3 linked regions of the Rattus norvegicus genome follow. The protein of the gene in region 2 purifies or fractionates together with the protein of the main gene of each other region. This does not show direct contact. Links are inferred from orthologs where the notes say so. Each region holds a gene or a part of one and is shown on either strand. Other genes may lie near its edges. The genes, in order: Zc3h4, Csnk2a2 and Eif3j.

Region 1 (7,242 bases), on a different chromosome or scaffold from region 2:
GTACAGTTAGTGGGGGTGCTTTCTTTTGTCATTCCTTTTGGGAGCCTATCAGCCTAAGCGAACTAGATGATCAGCATCCAGTCAGTTCTCTGGAAGGACCAGCAGTGTCTGATTAAAGGACGCCCCCTGCTGGAGGTTCAGTGTTCACACTTAAAAGCAGGAGCCCAGTCCTGCCCCTGGATCAGTCTAGTTTTTCTTGTAGCTTTGTTTTATTTTTTGAAGTTTGGTTGGGGTTTTGTTTTGTTTTGTTTGTTTAGTTTTGTTTTAAGACATGGTCTCTATGTAGCCCTGGCTGTCCTAGAGCTCCCCATGTAGATCAGGATGAGTGCTGAGATTAAAGGTGTGTGCCACCATATCTCCCGTTATTTTAAGTTTGCAGTAGCCCCACCCCCTTTCTTTTTGTTTTGTTTTGACAATTTTGCTTTGTGGCCCATGCTGGCCTCTTCATACCTACTCTTCTCAGTGCTCAACTTACGGGGTTTCTCTGTCCTAGAACTGCTCTGTAGACCAGGCTGGTCTCTGCCTCCTAAATTCTGGGATCAAAGATGTATGCCACCATGCTAGGGTGACTCACTCTGCCTTCCTTTCTTTCTTTTCTTTTCTTTTCTTTCCTTTTCTTTCCTTTTCTTCTTTTTTTCAGAGCTGGGGATCGAACCCAGGGCTTTGCGCTTGCTAGGCAAACGCTCTACCACTGAGCTAAATCCCCAACCCCTCCTTTTCTTTTTTTAAGGAAAAAATGTTTTGAAATTATTTTATTGGGGTTGGGGATTTAGCTTAGTGGTAGAGCACTTGCCTAGCAATCGCAAGGCCCTGAGTTCAGTCCCCAGCTCCAAAAAAAAAAAAAGAAATTATTTTATTTTAGAAACAGAAAGGAGAAAAAGAGAGAAAACCACGAAATATTCGGGCATTTTTACTTCCTGAATTTCTCTTCTTTTTTTTTTTTTTTTTTTTTTTCTTTTTCTTTTTCTTTTTTTTCTGGAGCTGGAAACTGAACCCAGGGCTCTACCACTGAGCTAAATCCCCACCCCCACTTCCTGAATTTCTCACACCCTCATTTGCTCACTAGTTCCCACAATGAGAAAGTTCCCAGCCACCCACAATTATGTCATTAATAGGGACATGCATCACACATGGCTCACAAAGAAGCTTTCCAGGATCAAAGATCCTGTTGCTGTTACCTTGGCAACAGTCTCCTGGAAGCCTGTCTGTCGGCTTTAGTGCATCTTCTACCAGCACAGTTACGTTCTTCACAAACTGCTGACTCGGCTAATTGGCATGACCTGATCCATGATTGTTACCTGGATGGCTATTTGAGAAGGTACAGATGCTTCGGTACCGAGTTTATGCTGAAGTGCAAAAAGAAAACATTTTATAAGTCTGTGAAGATAGCTCTCACCCCAGGGGAAGGTGCCTGGTCTCTCCCTTGCATGGCAGAGCTTCAGCTTCTCTGAGGTGGACTGGCTGTTTTTGTTTGAAACAGTCTTGTGTAGTCCAGGTTGGCCTTGAAATCACTACAATCTACAGTCATTATTAAACCCATGATCCTCCTGACTTCAGCTCCCAAGTTCTGAGATTACAAGCATACACACCACCAAGTTCTGCCCAGCAGATCTGTGGGTATTGACCAACATGTAGATTTATCTCTGCTCTGTACAATCTAGACATAACACACACACACACACACACACACACACACACACACACACACACACACACACACACTTTATCCCAATACTTGGAATCCCTGTATGATTTGTATCCCTATAGTTTGCTTTTGCAGGGTATCATAGGGATGGGGAGCAGGTGGGAGAGCCTATACCTCTCATTCACAAGGCCCTGAGTTTGATCCCCATCATCACTGGAGAAAACAAGTGTCTTCTAGGTAGAACTGTAGAATAAAGTAGGCTAGAGGTGTGTGTCTGCCTTGTGCATGCCATAGGGCACTTTTGATCTGCTTATAGCAACTGTAGTTCAATGCAGTTGCCTGCCAGGTTGAACTCCTCAGCTGATAAAGTTAGCTTTGTTGATCCAGTCATTGGTTAAAATACATTTGTATATTTCTTTTTTTTTTTTTTTTGGTTCTTTTTTTTTTTTTTTTTTTTTTTTTTTTTCGGAGCTGGGGACCGAACCCAGGGCCTTGCGCTTCCTAGGTAAGCGCTCTACCACTGAGCTAAATCCCCAGCCCCCATTTGTATATTTCTTGTTTGGGCAAAAGCTTAAAGTTTGTGACAGCTACCTTATTTGTGCATGCAAGTTTGAGTCACTTTTTTTTCTTTAGACAAGTTTTCTCATCACATGGTGGCTCACAACCATCTGTAATGGTATCTGTTGCCCTCTTCTGGTGTGTCTGAAGACAAGTTTTCTCTGTAGCCCTGGCTGTTCTAGAATTCAGTCTGTAGACTAGGCTGACCTTATGTCCATAGATACTATCCTGCCTGTCCCTCCAGAGTACTGGGATCAAAGGCGTGTGCTGCCGTAACTGGTGACGATGATCATTTTTACATAGGCGATAGACCTTTGGATTCTGGCATCCGCTGTAATAAAAGGTTTGGTGACACAGCTCAGTCCTAGCAGACATGTTCAACAAGAGCCTAGTAGCAGTGGTCCTTGCTAGTAGAGAGGCCATGTATGGAAAGGCTGCAAGGGAGTATAATGACGGATATTTGTCTGCTCCCTCCATTTGTGCGGAAATTGCTGGTGCGTAGTCTATGTTCTATCCTCTGGTCATGTCCTTGTGTGTCTGCCTTGTTCATGTCACTGGGCTCAGATGAGAAGACCAGGCTCCTCCTTAAGCTGTAGGGTCTGGGTTGTAAAAGGCTTCACACATAGGGAAGACAGAAGCCCAGCTGTAGAGCTTTCCATGTTAGAAGACATCCCTAAGGGTGCTGAGGTGGGTGCCAGCAAGACTGCTTTCATCCAGTTTGTTACTAGCAGTACCTGCTAGTGTTGAACCCCAGGCTTGTCTTTTTTTTTTTTTTTAAGATTTTATTTTATTGTATGAGTACACTGTAGCTGCCCCCAGACACACCAGAAGAGGGCATCAGATCTCATCACAGATGGTTGTGAGCCACCATGTGGTTGCTGGGACCCGAACTCAGGACCTCAGGAAGAGCAGTTGGCGCTCCCAACCACTGAGCCATCCCTCCAGCCCCCCAGGCTTGTCTTCTTTGGTAGCTGTCTCAAATTATTAAGGAAATTGACTAGGTTTTCACACTTGATCATTGGTAGAGAGAAGTGCACTGTGATTTGAAACCTTGCTGGAAAAATCTGTCTCAGGTCATTAGAGGCCTAGGAGGGAGGCTACCTTCAAACTTGATCTTCCTGCTTCCTCATCCCTAACGCTAAGATTGCAATCGTGTAGCACTATGCCCAGTTTGATGAAGCAGATGAATTTAGGTCCTAGACCCTGTGCTCTAAAGGCCCCCAGCAGGTGTGTGTTTTAAGTTTTTCCTCAGAAAATTGAGTCTGACTTAGTAGAGTCTTCTGATGTGACTTCCTCTGCTTCCCACAGATGTTGGCTGATGATGCAGAAGCAGGTGCTGAGGATGAGAAGGAGGTGGAAGAGTTGAAGAAGCAGGGCATCAACCCCTTGCCTAAGCCACCTCCTGGTGTGGGGCTCCTGCCTACTCCTCCACGGCCCCCTGGACCCCCAGCCCCCACCTCTCCTAACGGCAGGCCCATGCAAGGTGGCCCTCCTCCTCCACCACCACCCCCTCCCCCACCTCCTGGGCCTCCTCAAATGGCCATGCCAGCACATGAACCGCTGTCCCCACAGCAGCTACAGCAGGACATGTACAACAAGAAGATCCCCTCTTTGTTTGAGATTGTGGTGCGACCCACAGGGCAGCTAGCTGAGAAACTGGGCGTGAGGTGAGTATATTGCTTGCCCTTAGAAGCACAGGCGCATGGCCTGGCAGGGCTCTGTCCTTCTGAAGCTGTCATTCCCCATTTGGGCTCCTGGCCCCAGGCTCTAAGTGAGCACTGCTGGCTGGGTGCTGCTGCCTTTCCTTAGCAGCTTCATCACAAGAACCATTTCCTCTTCTAGGTTCCCTGGACCTGGTGGACCCTCAGGGCCAATGGGTCCTGGCCCCAACATGGGACCCCCAGGGCCAATGGGGGGGCCCATGCATCCTGACATGCACCCAGACATGCACCCTGATATGCACCCCGACATGCACCCCGACATGCACCCCGATATGCACCCCGACATGCACCCTGACATGCATCCTGACATGCCAATGGGTCCTGGCATGAACCCTGGCCCTCCCATGGGTCCTGGTGGCCCCCCAATGATGCCCTATGGTCCTGGAGACTCCCCACACTCTGGAATGATGGCTCCTATCCCGCCAGCCCAGAACTTCTATGAGAACTTCTACCCGCAGCAAGAGGGCATGGAAATGGAGCCGGGTCTTGTTGGGGATGCAGGTATGTAGGCAACAGCTAGACTGCAGAGCTGGGCTCACCAGGGTGGGATGGAGGTCAGAAGTGACTTTTCTTCCTTGGCCAGTCTTACAGCAGCATTCCAGTTCCATTCCCAGTCTATAGGTGTTTTAAATATTAGGGGGCCCTTGACCTTATGGGGGCTGGAGGACTCTTGTGTTTGTTGTCAGTGTAGGAAACAGTACTCATAGGGCCTAGCATCAATCGTGAGCAAGGCAAAAATGCCTTAGGAGGCTGTGCTTGTGTGCCTGGCACCATCAGGAGGAAGGCAGGGCCCCTCTTCCAGGTAGTGCTGGGCTCACTAACTCTGCCTGTCTGAAACCATTGACTGGACAGGTTCTTGCCTGTGTCCTGTGATGTTAGCAACCTCGGTGTCCAGCATAGTCAAGGATAGATGCTGTGGGAGATTCAAGGAGGAGGAGGGACCTGCCCCAGGCCAAAGCTCAGAGTCGTGGTCTCTGTCCTTGCTATAGTTGCATTTTAGTAGAGCAAACCAGAGAGAAGTCGGATGGCTCATTTTAGCTTTAGCCATTGTTAGAAAATAGCATAGGACTGTACAGAGCCACAGCCCTAGCAGGGACAGTCATCTGAAGCATCTCTGAGAATGTAACCAGGTGCCATAGCTGACCAGCTTATCTGAGGACAGCAGAGATAGAGATGGCTATGCATCTATAAAGGAGTGAGAGAGCGACATCTTAACATATGCAGGTGTGTGTGTCACTGTGGTATCGCCCGCTCTACCGAGCAGTAGAGGGCAGCAGGACATGCACTTGTGGCTCCCAGTGCTTGGGAGGATACAGTGAGACTGCCAATCAGCCAGAACAGTGGTGGGAGTTTCCGGGTTCCCGTGCAGTTGCTGACAGCAGGTGCATCCAGGTGGAGACCAGGAGGTAGCCAAGGATACAGAGATGAGTCACGGGGTTTGGGACTGGCACGTTGGAGCCAATGTGACCTGTATGTATGTGCTGTGTAGGGCTGGAAGGAGCAGCTAGGAGGATGGGCGCCAAGTATAGGCAGGCCTTCACCGACATTCAGGCTGTTCTGTTGGATGTGAGGATCACTGCTGCCTCAAAGCACAAGGAGCCTGGGAGGTGCGGGGGTGCGGGGATAAAGCATCCACAATGCATGGTAAAGAGTGGGTTTGAAGAGATGCTAGAAAAGGCAGACCAACAAATGGAGGGAGATGCTGTTGACTGGCCTGAGTTAGTTGCTTGTTGATGATAGGTGTCTCTACAGCGAAAGTGAGCTCTAATGTGAGTTCCAGGAACTACTCTTTACAGCACAGAGCTGCTGTGGTTTCTGTACATTTACTTGGCCTTCTGGCGATTGATGTTCTATGGAGGTGAAGCCTCTGCCTGTGTCCCAGCTCCCGAGGAGCTGTAGCATAGAAGAGGTCCCATTAGGCTCTAACCAAAACTCAGGCCACCTTCACTCACTGTGAGGTCTTACAGTTTTGCAGTTTGTGGTATATATGGGGGGTGGTGAGGTGGTGGTGCACATAGCAGTATGCAAGTGTGCGTAGACCGAGTTGACCTGTTTGTGTATTATCACTGTACATCTAAGGCAGAACTCATTTGAACCTAAGTGATTGCCATTTCAGCTAGTACAGCTCTCTAGGCACCGGGACACCCGCCTACTCACCAAGTACTGACTGCTGGGCCATTGCCAGGCTTGCCTTGCTTCAGGTTGTAGTGGCGATCCAGTTGTGTGACAGTAGGCTACTGAGCCATCTTCCTGGGCCCCAGTTTCTCTATTTAAATACCAGACTACCTCCTTTGGTGGCATGAACCACATCTCTGATGCTCGGTATCTTGTCCTAGCTGGATAAAAGTCATGTCACATGTGCAAGGGACAGTTGACTCTTGACAGACCTGGGCATGCTAGCTCAGCACCCTACGATCCAGGGACTCAGTGAGACAGTGGTGTTGTATCTGCTATACGTAGTGGACCTGGTCGTTGAGGGAGGAGAGACTTGCTCTGGCCGTGCAAGGGAAGCTGCCTCATGCAGTCAGTGACTCCAGGGACGCTGAGAGGAAGGGTTGGGGGGATGCCGTGAGCTGGACTGAGATTTTAGTGTGTTTCGTTCTCTCCTGGGAGATGCAGTGACTTTCTTACAGGTATATCTAACCTCCAGGGTAGGCACTGCATGCAGCTGAGAGAAGCTAGGAATGCAGCACAACACAAAATCTTAAACTTAATTAAGCATTATGACTATGCTGGGCATCATGGCTCACGCCTTCAATCCCAGCACTCGGTAGGCAGAGGCAGGTGGATCCTTGTGAGTTCAAAGCCAACCTGGTCTGTTTAGAGAGTTCCAGGCCATCCAGGGCTGCGTAGTGAGCTCTTTCCTCAAAAACAAACAAAATTAGGACCTTTGTTTTTGTGTGTATGAGATTATTTCTTTGATTACATGCTTTCTCGAGCATGAACTTGGTAGATGACAGTATCACATTACAGTGTCAAACACTTAGACGTACCTGCAAGAAGCCATGAGACCACTCATGGCAGATGATAAACCAAGCCTGCTTCCTGTGAGGACAGCAGCAGCTACCTAGCCTGAGAGGGGTATGGCCTGTCCACAGACATCCTGCCTGAGGTGTATGCACACAGTGTGCTGACATCCATAGCCTGAGGTGTATGCACACAGTGTGCTGACATCCATAAGCATCTATCATGCCTTCCCTGAGCCTCATCCTTTCCCTGCCAGCTGGCCCACTATGGGCTCCTGCTGGACTCTCAAGGCACCCATGCCTGGGGAGGAGGAAGGGACGGGTGGCCATCCTCATCCTCACACTTGCCACC
Region 2 (7,342 bases):
CTGTGATCCTAAGGAAATCAGTCTGCACTCTACAAGGTATATTCTGTGATTCTGCTTAGCTCTCTACGTACGTCCTTATAATGTCAACGTTACATCTAACTCTGGCCAGTTCACACACAATTTCTAACACTGTATGTTATTAATACCCTTTAATAATCTCTCATATACTATGAAACATTTGCTAAAACTAGAATTCACAAAAAAGTAAAGCTTATTAACATGTCTCTTTATGGAGATATATCAGTACGCATGCTTAAATGAAGTAAGAGACCTACCCTTAGACAGAGAGGGCCCAGAGGAAGGAGCATTTCATCTTAAGACACAATCTTTGGATATAACAAAGGTCATCAGCCAAGCATTAAATCACTATTAAAGAGCTGTAATCAATGCCAATCTTCCTTTTAAGAACACAAAATTTTATTCTTTTTTGCCGTGTTTTGAGGTGGAAGAAGGGTAAGGACGAGATCCAGGACCTCAAGCTTGCTAGCTAGTGCTCTACCAGTGAGCAACCACCTAGTCTTACCAACACATTAAACAAAACTATGAATATGTTAGACATGTTTAAGACAAATTTTAATACTACCATTGCCTTACTCAAGAATTTTGAGGGTTGGGGAAGCGCAAGGCCCTGGGTTCGGTCCCCAGCTCCGAAAAAAAGAACCAAAAAAAAAAAAAAAAAAAAAAAAAAAAAAAAAAAAAAAGAATTTTGAGAGAGGAACGCAATGGACAGCCATTTATATGTTTATAATGTAAAATAAAGCTGCTAACAGGAGCCTTATGTGAGAATTTCTAAGTCACTGCAGCACTGGTTCAAAACACTTTGGTTGTTTTTAAAAAAAAAAAAAAAATAGTATTGCTCTTGACAAGTACTCAAGAAACAGCAGTTTAATTGAAAGCTCTTGAGGACCCCAGGAAGAGCTGCCATCCATGCACACAAGCCGTGCTCACTGATGCTTTAATCTTACTTTGGGCACACCTTTCTAAGTACTAGAGAGGAACAAAAGAATCAACTGCTTTTGACACTAAAGTAGCCTTCTACCTTGTTGCATCAATAAATTCTTTAAAAAAATCATTTCCTTTTCTCATTAACACAATTTTTTTGGACACCCCCCAAAAGAATAAAAGGCATGACTTCTCTATTCATTAGAAAGTTTTTAAGATTTAACCTCAGACCTCCACACATAATTCACTTTTTCACAGACACATTAAAGAAGTAAGAGTATTACCTTATTAAAAAAAAAAAAAATCACAAAACTTTCACTAGCAGCTTTTTAAATTTATAAAGCCCTCTAATAGGCTCAAACATACCTCGACGAATCAAATACTTAGAGATCTTACATGCAAGATAAATGAAATAAAAGCCCTCCATGATCACTATGCATCCAATTGTGGCAGAATGACAAAAACTGTTATGAAGTGTCACTAAAGTCTGTGCCCTGTGTCTCAGTCACCAAGTGCACACTCGTCCCCCCTGCAGGTTAACTACTACAGGCTTGTAAGAGAAGCAAACCTTTCCCAGACTGCCCCAAACTGAGCAGCTAGCACTGCAAAGGGCTTAACTTCCTCTAACAAAACATCACAATAGTAGGCATTAGTCCTAACTTGAACTTATTTGAGTAATAAGCATAACTTTTGGATAAAGTCTCTGTTCTTTTTGAAAAATAATACTTCAAATCCATTATAAGAACAAAACCACAATATTAATTAGGGGTTTCTTACTCTATCCTTCAAATATAAATAAAATCTATACAGAAATGCCACAGGACTTTGACAAAGGAGTAGAAGGGTTCGGACTGCCCTCTGAGAACCAAACACCTCATGATCTACAGCATAAAAAGGGTTTCCCAAACCTCATGATTGAACCCTGAAACTTACTGTGTTCAGTGCTAAGATCCTGCAGCCCAGTGCTGAAATGAACACTCAGAGGTATGAAGAAATCGGAAAGAAGAGTTTTGGCGAAGGGCCATTTCAAACAGCACCATGGCAGGTACGTCTCTCTGTACCTAGGCTATTTGTAAAAATAATTTAAAGCAGCTTCCATACTGGATGTGGTAAAATATATGCAGAGACTCTTCAGAGCAGAGGAAAAACTATCAAGCAACCAACCTCTGAATCTTTACGAGAACAATCAAAAACTAGTAATAACTATGCTTCTCTAAACACTGGGACTCATAAACACCTGAGCACTGTTCCCTTCAAAACACACCTCAGGAAGCTGCACTTAGTCTATTGCACAGACATTGAGACATTTCCCTTAAATTGCTTTAGACGTGGCAAATTCAATCCTCCAAATGTACAACGGAACATGGATGTTCCTGACAATGCTTGTTTTGCTTATTCCTTAAAGGGAAAACATCTGAAGTAACTTCTATTCAAAATGCATTTATGTAAGTAATGAAATTGTATGGCTTCCTCCAGCAATGTTTCCCTGAAGGAAACATTTCTCTGCTTAAAACACACCCATCCGTAACTACACACCTCCTATGTACAAGTCATACTTAGTGGGCCAAGCTCCCTGCCTTCCACATCATTCCTTCCTCCTCGTACCAGTGCCTTGGGCAGCAGTGGCAGCATCACCGGCCTCAGCAGCAGTGCTGCTCCTTGTCACTAGGCTAGGATGGTAAGGAACGTTAGCAGCAGCTATTTTTTTTTTGAAAGATGATTTACACGATGCTAAAATCTACACTACAATTAAATGAGGACTGCCCTGAGGCATGAGCTTTTCAATCCATTTTGTTCAGGGAACCTCCACTGGGCACTGTGAAAATCAGGTGAAGTACTACCACTCTCCAGCGGTCTTTCTTTCACGAGTGACACACATACATGTTAAGTGATCTGACAACGTGAAGAACTGCTCAGATCCTAAGGGGACATGCATATGCATTAAATGACCTGACAACCATGAAGAACCGCTCAGGTCCTAAGGATCACTTTCTTGTACAACCTACAAAGCACTAATTAATCTCCAATCACCTGTACAGAAACTTGGCTGACTCTTCATGCTCATTAAGATCATGTCTTCATTTGAGTGATAACAAAAGCCCTATCATTATCAAAGTGAGAGGGCTAGTCTTGCCACTGAGACAGTTTTGTTCCGGTTACTATTTCAGGGGCTAAAATGTACTCTTCTGTTGCCCCGAATCTCTTTTAGTGATGGCTTGCTATATCCAGCCCACCTGAAACTTTACTTCTAAATGAAACAAAACTATCAACTGGGGGGAGTTGCCCTGCATTTTTGGCTTTAAACTTATCTCTGAGAAGACCCCAGTTATGTTTTGTTTGGACAACTTTCTTTCTGGAGTAACTGGGAGCAGAGAGTAACTAGTACATTTTAGGAGCCCTACACGGACATGATACATGCAAATGCTTTTCTTTCTTGCAAACATCTCTTTGTTTCATATCAGATACAACCCCTCTCACATATTTGTTTGAGAAGTTCAGAATTTACACCTTAAGTGTTCCTGACCTATCAAAGTCAGCGTTAAGACCAGCCTGCACATTTTCTCAAAAGCTCACAGGAAAAATGGGGTAGGAGTGCTGCAGAAGATACACAAGAGCTGGAGCCGCTTATTCTGGAATAGCTGGTCCTTTGGCCCTGTGGGGGTAAAAGGTTACATGCCGCTGTAGTACACTCACCTTGAGAATTTTTACAACCACCCTCTCATTGTTGGTGATGTTAATGGCCTCAAATACTTCACTATACTTGCCCCGACCAAGTTTTCGAACCAGTTGGTAATCATCTTGATTACTGTGAAAGGCAAGAGATATTGTACATAAATGCCAGGATTTGGGATTAAGCAAGCGTATGTCCACTATACATCCATCCACCAAGTCCAGCTAATCAAAGTATTCCTGACATCACACCTCGACTCATTCTCTAAATGAAAGCCACACAGAAGCTTGGCTCCCGTCATTCTGCAGAGCTCTTAACCTCACTGACTCTAAGCACAGGGAGAAAAGGCAGCTATGAGGCCTTATGAGCCCTGTTAAGTGGACTGAGCAAGGTATCCCCCTGGTAGTACTGGGGTGCCCGCCTGCCCGGGGCTCCACAGCACCTGCCTCCCATTTTACACCCTCTAGGGGGGCCATGTTCAAAATGTTCCTCCCTCCCAGCCTCATTTCAGAAAGTAAAAAGGTAGAGATTTTAACAGCTCAAGAGGACAGACATGGACTTCCCATCCCATAGGAAGCCCAAAGTGTGAGGAGGAAGGGCCGCCCCCACCCTGACCCTACGCTTCTCCCCACCGGCTGCTGAGCCGGGGACCGGGGACCGAGGCCGGGCGGACAGGAGAGGCCGGGGACACGTGCGGCCGGGGTCGGGCCTCCCTGCCAGCCCCGAGGCCGAGCGGCCGGCAAGGTGCGGTTCGCGCGGGGGGCGGCCGGCGGCGGCTTTACCCCCAGCTCGGGACGTGGGCTTCGTAGTCCCAGTACTCGCGGCTCCTCAGGCTGTTCACCTCGGCGTAGACCCGGGCCCGACTGCCCGCGGCCGGGCCGGGCATGGCGGGCGGGACCGGGGGGCGCCGCGGGGCGCCGAGGGCGGCGGCGGCGCGGCGCGGAGCGCGGGGCGGCAGGCGCGGGAAGCGGCGGGCCGCGGACCGCCCGAGCAGGAGGAGGAGCGCGGCGGCGGCGGGCGTCCGCGCCAGGCCGGGCCCGCGGGGGCGGGCGGACGGACGGACGCTCGGGCCGGGGGCGCGGGAGGCGCCGGCCAAGCCGGCCCGGGGCCTTCGGCAGCCGGCGGGACGGCGGGGTTCGTGCTCCGCGGCGGCCTCCGCTCGGCTCGCGGCCCCCAGAGGCGGTGGTGGCGGCAGCGGCAGCGGCAGCGGCAGCCACCGGCCGGGAGAGGGGCAGCGGCGGCGGCGGCGGCGAAGAGGGAGGAGGAGGAGGCGGAGGAAACCCGGAAAAGGGGCCGAGCTCGCCAGGAGCGGCCACCGCCCAGCCCCAGCCCGCCCCTGCCCACAGCGCCCCCTACAGTGCCGGGGGACTGTGGCCGGCGCCCGCCCCCTCAGCGATCTCGCCACCCGCCAAGCAGAGTGGTAGTCTGCCTGCCCACCCGCAGGTCACCCCTTAGGAGCCCTTGCCCTCGACTAGCGCCGCTTTTAGCATCGCCCCTCAGTCCAGTCACCTCGTGTCAACCACCAAGACCTCCTATACTGGCCCTGAGCTGATTTGCTTTAAACCCAAGAATCCTCACCTCAAACTGTCTCCCTTCCTCACTCCTCTTTCCCCCTCTAGACTCCACCCTGCTATCCACAGATTTCCCCGCCTTCAACCCCAAGAGGCAGAGAACTTCCATGCAGAACCAGTCTACTACTAGATCTACCCTATCCTCTCAGTTCCCCGTCCAATTCCCCTGGTAGCCCACTGAGTCATCTTTTAGGCTACTTGGTTAAACTAGAGTCCGCTGGGTAGTTTCCCCATAAAATTATTGGTTTTTTTTCCCTTTGTATTGAACCAGTCGTTTGTGGGACATAATTTAAGACTGTAAATATGCATTTTTGTTTATTTGTTTGAGAGGAGGGAGAACTGGGGAGTGAGGAGTTCGGCCTCGAAGGAGAGACTAAGGGTTGGTGAACATACAAGCTTTGAACAGTCTTTGATTTCCTGGGGTCCCTGACTATCTTGTTCTCCTGTCCATATTTTTTTTTTCACACCAGAAGAGGGCATTGGATCCCAATACAGATGGTTGTGAGCCACCATGTGGTTGCTGGGAGTTGAACTCAGGACCTCTGGAAGAGCTGTCAGTGCTCTTAACCTCTGAGCCATCTCTCCAGCCCCCTCCTGTCCATTTCTTTATCAACAAGGATCTCCTCTCCCAACCCAGGTTGTTCTGACTTCTAATTACCCCCACCACTGTTTTCTAGATGAGACCATGTTCCCTCTTTATATACCTAACTATCCGGGTTCAAGTCCCAGTTCCGTAGCTTACAAGTGATGCTGATTTGAGCCAATGACCCAACGTCTCTGTGCTTCAAATTTTGTAGCATCAACCCAGCACCTATGTCACAGAGCTATGCAGAGACTTAAACCATGTAAAGTGGGAGTGCTCAATATTAAAACACTACATGTTCATGCTGCTATTAAACGCTATCACCTTTCTTTCCCTGAGAGCATCACATGTCCATCTTCAGTTCCTTCTTCTCTCTGAGCTTGGCCAGGGGGTACCTCTGCCACCCCACAAATGACTGGCTTTTTTTTTCAACTCCTTAAAGGCCACTTTCTCTGAAGTTGATACTTCTCTCAATGACTCATCCACTTGACATGAGTTCTCTCCTGGTTTACCATCTGTCCCCTTCCTGTGAAAACAATTTGAAGGCATGGCTTGGGCTGGGTGGTCACCACCAGGTCACTCAGTGCCTGCTGTAGCTGGAGGCCTTCAATCAACATGGTGCTACTGCCCCACAGATATCATGCTGGTTACAAAGGGGACCCTGAAGGTCAGATGCAGGGACGAACTGACCTGTGTGATTCATGGAGAAAGGACACACCACTTACACCTGCCAAAAAAGTTCTACCTGCATCCAACCAGACACAGCCAAACTGAGGGGTGGTTCAGCAAAACATCCAGTCCACACTGCTAAAAAAAAAAAAAAATAACAGTGCCACACCAAAAAGAAATCTTGAGGTGCTGCTCTTGATGAAAGGGAACTGAGAGCCACCCCTGAGACTGCACACTACAATCCTATCTGAGTAGTAGATTGTGGGTTCAAAGCCAGCCTGAGCTACGTAGTAAAATCTTGTTTTGTTTACTTTTTTATGGGGAGAATGCAGTCAGGTGTGGGGGCATTTTGGTAACCCTGGTACGTGGGAGGTCAGGACAGGCAGATTGGCATGAGTTTGATGCCAGTGTGTCTGGACTGTGGAGTGAGACTTGTCCAAAATAAAATAAAATAAAAACCATACACATTTTATTGCTCGGAACTCTGGAAAGCCATGCACACTATTTCTACTGCTCTTATCATTCAAAATCAACAAAGAATGAATATCTTAAAATAAGTCATGGGTCAAGCCCGGTGGAGTAGTGCATGACTGTTATCCTAGCTGTCGGGAGGCTAAGGTAGGAGCATAGCTTAGGTTCTGTGATGTGTTTCAGGCCAGTGTGGGTTATGTAGACCCTATTTCAAAAACAAAAGACAAAAAAAAAAAAACAAAACAAAAGCGGGAACTCTTTCTGTGTGTGTGTGTGTGTGTGTGTGTGTGTGTGTGTGTATGTGTGTGTGTGTGTGTGTGTGTGTGTATGTGACAGAGGGATAAGAATACAGCTAATAGGACACTCACTGGGGTAACTTTAATATGGGGTCTATATTATATAATACCAATGCTTTAATGTTAACTTGAAGCACAT
Region 3 (7,342 bases), on a different chromosome or scaffold from region 2:
GCAGGAGGATTGCCATGGGTTGTAAGGCCAGACTGGGCCAGAGTAAGACTGTCTCAAGCAAAAAAAAAAAAAAAAAGAAAAAAAAAAAGAAAAATCATATATATATATGATGACTATCTTCAGTTGTGAAGGGACTTACAGAGGAAGACCTAATGCTAATTAAACCACTGTATGTTTGTGATTTTCTATAAATTAGAAAAATATTCTCATCAAGATAAACATTTTCAGCCTAGGGAGGGGTTGGGGGATGTTGGCCCTGAAACCGGGAAAGGGAATAACAATCGAAATGTAAATAAGAAATACTCAAGTTGGGGTTGGGGGTTTAGCTCAGTGGTAGAGCGCTTGCCTAGCAACCTCAAGGCCCTGGGTTCAGTCCCCAGCCCCAGGAGGGGGGGGGGGGGAGAAATACTCAAGTTAATAAAGAAAAAAAGAAATAGGGGTTGGGGATTTAGCTCAGTGGTAGAGCGCTTGCCTAGGAAGCGCAAGGCCCTGGGTTCGGTCCCCAGCTCCGAAAAAAAAGAACCAAAAAAAATTTTTTCAGCCTAGCATGGTGGCAACACACTTGTAATTCCAGCACTCAGAAGGCTGAGGCAGGAGAAGCTTGAGTGTTCAAGTCCAGCCTAGTGTATACAACCAGACTGCTCCTCCTACTTCCCAAAAAAAGGGCAGGACTGGGGAGTTCACTTGGTAGAGTGTCAAACCATCCTGAGTTCCAACATTGGAAATGCAGAAACCAGGCACAGAGCACATAGCATAGCACTTGGGAAGCCAAGAAACAGTTTAAAACCACCCTTAGTACACAGTGAATTAAACACTATCCTGAGCTACATGATACACTCTTTTAAAGAAAACAAAACAAACAATTGCCTATTTTCTGGCAAAATTGTTACCTGAAAATGTAACCACATTTTTCTCTAAAATACAGATCTTGAAGTGGCACACACACATGTATGTAAAGAACTTGGAAGGATGAAGCAGGAAGATCCAAACTGGAGATCCTCCCCGCATATAAAATATAAAAAATAAACAAAAATAAAATAAATATAGATCCTATTCCTCAGAAGCGCTAATACGTGAAAAAAAGATGTCCTTAACCTGGAAGATTTACAATATTAATCTGGATAGATCCTTAAAGTAAATGAGTAAGGCACAACTGCTTACTCCATAGTTTTTACCTGGGTCAGTCCTCGGAGACCTGTGTAATAAATTCTACAGTGCAACTATAGAGACACATAGCTGAGGGCTGCAGATGTAGTTCAGGTGGTGGCTTGCCCTGCGTTCTATCCACAGGGAGGCATAAACTGAGGGTAGCTGTACATGCCTTCAAATGTCTGTAGGCAAGGTCACAGAATTCAGTTGGCAAAGATGGTGAGGCCAGCCTTGGGCCAAATGATATCCTGCCTAAAATAACTAAACATAAAAACAGACAAAAACAAAACAAAATGCCTGAGATAGCTGAACACAGCCAGAAGTTTCCTCTAAAAATCTGTATACCTTCTGAATAAACCTGATTTGCAACTTGTTAAATTGAAATTTTAGGGAATCCAGTAAAATGGTTTTAAAGTTGCATTGTCCCTGCTTTCAGTAGGCACTCAATCCTGCATCTATATCTGTACATCACTCTAGTCATATACACAAAGTAAGAACTTCTTCCGCTACTTCTGCATATCAGAATAGTAAGAAAAAGTCTAAGGAAATACTAAATACAAATAGAGATATACACGCCTTAGTTCTCAAAAAGAAGTATGTCTGCCTATCTGTGGACATGCATATGACAGTAGATCTACAAGGACAGAGATACTGGATGTCCTGGAGCTAAAGCCACAGACGGCTATGATGTAAATGCTAGGAATCTGACTCTGGCACTCAAGAAGAGAAGACTGCTCTTAGGTCATCTCTCTAGCGACTAGGTTTCACCTTTTTACTGGGAAAAAGTCTGTCCTCCATGAATATTAAGAGATCTACAGGTTACGTCCATTTTTGCCACTGCAAGACAGCTACTGAAAAGTCAAAAAGGTTAAAAAGAACAACTAGGGCGAGTAACTAAAACAGACACTATTATTAAAATGGTAACTTATAAAGGTCAAGCGCGTGATCCTTGATAAAAGAATACTTTCTACAGTTTTGCCATAGAACTCTCTCTCTATGGCCCTAGTTGGTCTTAAACTCTTGGACCCAGCTGATTCTCCTCCAACTTCCCCAAAGTGCTAGAACTACACTTGCCATCCCAACAATCTATTTTTTTTTTTACTCACATATTAAATTGTTTAAGAACTACAATTTTTGACTTCATGAAAACTAAGCCTTGCACACCACCACAAAATGATTAAACACTAAAGTATCAGGATTTGGAAGTTTGGCAACATAACTCATTGCTATGCAAGGTGACAAATTTCAATTCTAACAAACTTCTGAATGGGCAAAAACTTGATAACCATGATCCATCCTCCAATAAAAACAAAATTCATAGTAAATAGACACTATAGAAAAAAATCAATCCTTCTGGCCTTAGGAAATGATAAAATGTGACATAAAATAAACCTCAGATATTTAGATTTTAACAGCCAAACTATTTCCATTAGGATAAAAGAAGGAAGACATCAATGAAAACTAATATTTTCTGAATACCTACCAAGTGCTAGGTAGCCCTGCTTAATGCTCATTTAAAAGACAAAGTAATTCTGATGGTGGTGTACTCCTTTAGTCGCAGAACTCCTGAGGCAGAGCCAGGCAGATTGGTGAGATTCAAAGACTGCCTGGTTTACATAGTCAGTCCCAGTCTCAAAACAGTCAAAAAAACAACAAACTATGTAATGCAAGTCTCATTATGATTATTTACATATTGAGAAAGTGTAACTAGAAAATGCCAAGGTAACATAATCCAGTCTGATTCTAAAACCCAGGAGTCAAAAACTGTGGTCTTTATGGTAACTTACTTCTAAGTCTCCCAAAAATTAGCTCTTACACTTAGACTTGTGGGTCTCCAATGACCCTTTCAGAGATCAGATATTTACATTTCAACTTATAACAGCTGCAAAATCAGTTATAAAGTAGCAAAAATTAATAATTTTATGCTTAGGAGGGGGTCACCACAACATGTCAAATACAAGTTAAAAGATCATGGCACCAGGAAGGGCCAGAATTACTATTAATTACTGTTACGTGGTTAAGAATTATAAACATCAGGGTTGGGGATTTAGCTCAGTGTAGAGCACTTGCCTAGCAAGCGCAAGGCCCTGGGTTTGGTCCCCAGCTCCAGAAAAAAAAGAAAAGAAAAAAAAAAAAAAAAAAAAAAAAGAATTATAAACATCAGGATCGACACCACTTAAGATTCCATAACCCCAGGTAGATGCTATCCGGCATCATTACAGACATCTTTAAACTTTAAACTTTAAGCTTTCTGGAACTTATTCCCACTTCCTCTGGTTCCCCACCCCCACTCCTGTTTTATTTTGAATTTATTCCCAGCCCTTAATTTTAACTTCTTTAACTTTATAGGATGTCCTAACTTCTACTTCCTAGGGAAAGTGAAAAATCAAACCTGAAAATCTGCTGTGAGATGTGGTGGCAAATCATGCCCAAGTGTATACATACACTAGGAAACAAAGCATGCAAGTGGCCAGTCATTAACGCTACTTGTCATTATTGACTTCAGTGTATACAAAGCTCTCTCCATTCCTCAAATTCAGGCCAGCTGGTAAAGTGGGCATACACTTCAACAACAAACTTCAGGATGAAGAAGAAAAATCCAAACAGTACATCTGAAGCTGTAGGATGAGCCCCTAGGAGTTTTTAAAAACAATAAAGGTGAATAGGACTCGAATCTACATGATGAAGAAAAACAAAACCAGTGGCCCCTGGTTTATTTACCACAACAACCAACTCTGGTATTTTTCTAGGCCTGTCGGTCCCTGTGTAAATGAATACCTGTTAACTCGGTTTTTCACAGTTCAGTTCTGTCCACTAACTCGCTGGTTATCTCAGTGCTCCCAGTTCATCCTTCTTACCACAGGGTGGGGGAAGGGAGAGCTAAAAGTTGTTTTACTGCTCCAATTCTAGGTTAGAAAAATCAATCTATTTTCTCCATCTAATCGCTCGAACGAAGCTACCGGCCTTCACAATCATACCTAAGTTACTGACACATGGGAGACCCGAACTAGGAAAGTCGGGTCTCACGACTTTCCATATGGGGCAAACACTGAAACTGAGTTCCCGATCTGCTCGGCTTGTTTCGGCGACAGGTTCTGGACTGCGAAGATAGCACGTGGGCCGACCGGACTGCTGCTGTCACTTCTTGTCGCCAGTTAGGTTCCAGGCCTGAGAGCAGACCCTCGGTGAAGAGCTGGGGCCCAGGCGGCCACCACCCTCCGCAGAGTCAGGCCGGACAAGCTGCCGCCTGCTACCCACATGGCCGTCCAGCTGAGGGAACCAGGGAACCAGGGAACCTTTGGGCCGACGCTCACGCGGGACCCACGGCCCGCAGGCCCGGGCGGCGCCCCGGGGTCCCGAGTCTCCCCGCCCGCAGCCAGCGCCCACCCGCGTAGCCTGGCGCCCCGGCCCGCACCTACCTTCACGTCCTCGTCCTCGTCCTCGCCTTCCCAGCGGTCCCCGCCTGCTGTGCCGCCGCCCGCGACCTTCCGAACCGGGTCCTCCATAGAGAACGTGTCCGCGTCTATGGAAGAGAGCGAGTCGCGTTAGTACACGCGTGGGAGCGGGGCCTCCACAGCCCGCACTCGGGCCGGAACTTCTGCTCACCCCAGGAGTCTGAGTCCCCCGCTGCCGCCGCCGCCGCCGCCGCCATCTCGATCCGGGGGTGAGCGTGTGTGAAGGGAAGAGCTGCGAAGAGTTAGCGCGGCAGAGGTGAGTCACTGGGCTGGCTCTCGTTGGCCCGCGCGGGGCAGGCTGGGACTGTGGCTGACTGGGCGCCTGGCCGAAGCTCCGCCCCCCCGGGCGACGCGCGCGGCGGGGCGGGGTGGGGCGGGGCGACGCTGGGCTAGGAGACGCGGACCAGCCCGGGCCTCCCCACCTCCCCCACCCCCGCGAGAAGGAAAAGGAAGTGCGCACGCCTGAGTAGGGCGGTGCTGGCTTGGCGACCAGATCTTCTATTGCTGGTAGACTGGGAGCCAGCAGAAACTCAGTGAGAAGGAAGTAGGCAGGGCTGTTCTCCCGAGGCCTCCTAGCATTTGGGCACGGAGATCGAAGCCTACCCCAAAGTCTCCCGGGTTTTCCCTTCCCGTGGTCACCCGGAGCCTAGCACGGTGATTCTTTGGCGGAAACATTTCGGAGTTCCGTGCCAAGGCATATATTCTAGTTTGTCCTCAACACAGTAGCAAAATAGTTATGTAAACAGATTTCGGCACAGTGCAATGGCTGCAACAAAAAGAAGCATTATGAGGTTAGATGTAAAAAGGTAGCATTAACGACGACGGAGGTTGCAGTTTCCTGCCCGCGGTAGGCACTGATGAAGTTGGAGTTTGAGAAACCAAGTGACTTGTGCTCTGGTGCATTTGTAGTAGAGAGAAGTCTTGTGGTGCTCATCTGACTGAGTACAATCGAACAGGTAAACTGATAATAAAGAACCTAAAAGGAGCATAATTCTTTCTCCCTTGACACTGGGCTTCCTTATAAGGACGTTAAGGGACGAGCTAGTTTAGATATTGTTTAATTTTCCAATATATTCATAGTTTTTAAAGTTTTTTTTTTAAGACAAATTTCTCTGTGTAGCATTGCTGTCCTGGAACTCACTCTGTAGACCAGGCTAGCTATGAACTCAGAAATCCACCGGCTGGTGCCTCCCAAGTACTGGGATTAAAGGCATGAGCCACCACATCTGGTTTAATTTTTAAAGTCTTGAAAAGATATTATTGACCCAGATCAGCCATTCTCTTACTAGTTTCCGTTTCTTGCGTATTTTTCGTCTACAAGTAAACATTTTATAATGTGATCTTTCAAGAAATGTTCTACAGCATTAAAGTGAGAGGCAGCGCTCTATAAAAAATAGAAAGCATCCATTTATAATTTGGCAAAATACCTAATACATAAGTACAATCAAATAGGATAAAACCAAGAGCCTCTGCATTCCTTGCATTACCACTGAGCTATGTGATTTCCAACTTGAACGAATTAAGTGAGAAGAATTCAAGCCCAAATTAAGCCAGAGACAAAGGAGAGGAAGGAACTAGTCTGAAAACTAAAGGTCAAAGGCAATAGAACTTAGTGATTGGAATGGTTAATTTTATGTATCAGCTTGACTAGACTGTGGTATACATGTTCACTACTTTTTAGTCAAACACCAGTCTAGTTGCTGTGAATGTTAGGTGTGATTAACGTTTCAATCAGTAGTTGAGTAAAGCATTGTAATATATGTTGATCCAGCCATGAATCCGAATTAAGACCATAGGAAGGAAGACTTACGCTTCCAGACCACAGGGTCAGATGTCCCTTGGATCTCTACCCTGCTAGCTGGCCCTGAAGATTTTGGATAATTGTTTGATCTAAGTTCCTTAAATTCTCTTTGATACACGCATCCCATTTCTCTGTTTCTGTGTAGAGCCCTACTGTAGGGACTGAATGTGTCGAAGGTCAGAGGAGGTTAAGTGATGATGACACTCACTGAGCTGCCCAAATCAAGACCTAAGCGCTGTCCCTCAGTTCTTGCCCTCACTGACCTCCTGAATTCCATTTTTTACCAAGGTTTGTAGCTCTGTTTCCATTGCTGAAATTGAAAAACTACTACCACCTGAATCTTCGTTGTAATCTTCCAACAGGTGGTCCCTCTCCCATTTCTTCCTCCACAGCCCATACCCCACACAAATAGTGTGCATACTTAAAACTGCAGTTTATACCTGCTGTGGGGTGATTCAGCCCTGTATTCCAGCACCCTTGATGCAGAAGCCAAAAGATCCCAAGTTTGAGGCCAGCCTCTCTGAATAAATAGTAAATAACATTGCTTCCTTCCTGGTAAAATCTCTCTTAATGACTTCTTATTTTTAAGAAAACCTCAACTTTTTGGCCTGGGGATATGATGTAGTTGGAGAATACTTACTCACCATGCACAAGGCCGGAAATCCAATCCTTATAAGTAATGCATGGCACACGCCCGTAACCCCAAGAGGTGGAGGCAGGAGGATCAAAAAAGAAACTACATAGTAAGTCTGAGGGTGGCCTGGGTTATATGTGACCCTGTCCTAAAAGAAAAGTTCAGCTTCTTTTCCTGGTCAATAAGCCCTTGCATAGGCTGTCCTACTTCCTTCAGACATTTGCCAGTCTCCTTTCCTTATTATCTTTTTCTCCCCCTTCTTTCCCTTCCTCTGCTGTCTCTCCTTCCCTCTGATTCCCCACC

The links.
Region 1: the proteins of Csnk2a2 (region 2) and Zc3h4 purify together in Homo sapiens (affinity purification with mass spectrometry; 3 studies listed by BioGRID and IntAct, with this or other methods). This does not show direct contact. The link is inferred for Rattus norvegicus from reciprocal best matches to the Homo sapiens genes CSNK2A2 and ZC3H4.
Region 3: the proteins of Csnk2a2 (region 2) and Eif3j purify together in Homo sapiens (affinity purification with mass spectrometry; 5 studies listed by BioGRID and IntAct, counting the BioPlex papers as one, with this or other methods). This does not show direct contact. The link is inferred for Rattus norvegicus from reciprocal best matches to the Homo sapiens genes CSNK2A2 and EIF3J.

What each region holds. Positions count from the first base shown.
Region 1 is NC_086019.1:86,259,829-86,267,070, forward strand, and holds part of Zc3h4 (zinc finger CCCH-type containing 4), read left to right. Parts: intron 1-3,511; coding exon 3,512-3,870; intron 3,871-4,045; coding exon 4,046-4,425; intron 4,426-7,242. UniProt on the Homo sapiens protein: RNA-binding protein that suppresses transcription of long non-coding RNAs (lncRNAs). LncRNAs are defined as transcripts more than 200 nucleotides that are not translated into protein.
Region 2 is NC_086037.1:9,559,873-9,567,214, reverse strand, and holds the start of Csnk2a2 (casein kinase II subunit alpha'), read right to left. Parts: upstream 4,876-7,342; 5' UTR 4,500-4,875; coding exon 4,396-4,499; intron 4,389-4,395; exon of another isoform or gene 4,246-4,388; intron 3,749-4,245; coding exon 3,637-3,748; intron 1-3,636.
Region 3 is NC_086021.1:129,436,270-129,443,611, reverse strand, and holds the start of Eif3j (eukaryotic translation initiation factor 3 subunit J), read right to left. Parts: upstream 4,898-7,342; 5' UTR 4,802-4,897; coding exon 4,756-4,801; intron 4,673-4,755; coding exon 4,569-4,672; intron 1-4,568. UniProt on the Homo sapiens protein: Component of the eukaryotic translation initiation factor 3 (eIF-3) complex, which is required for several steps in the initiation of protein synthesis.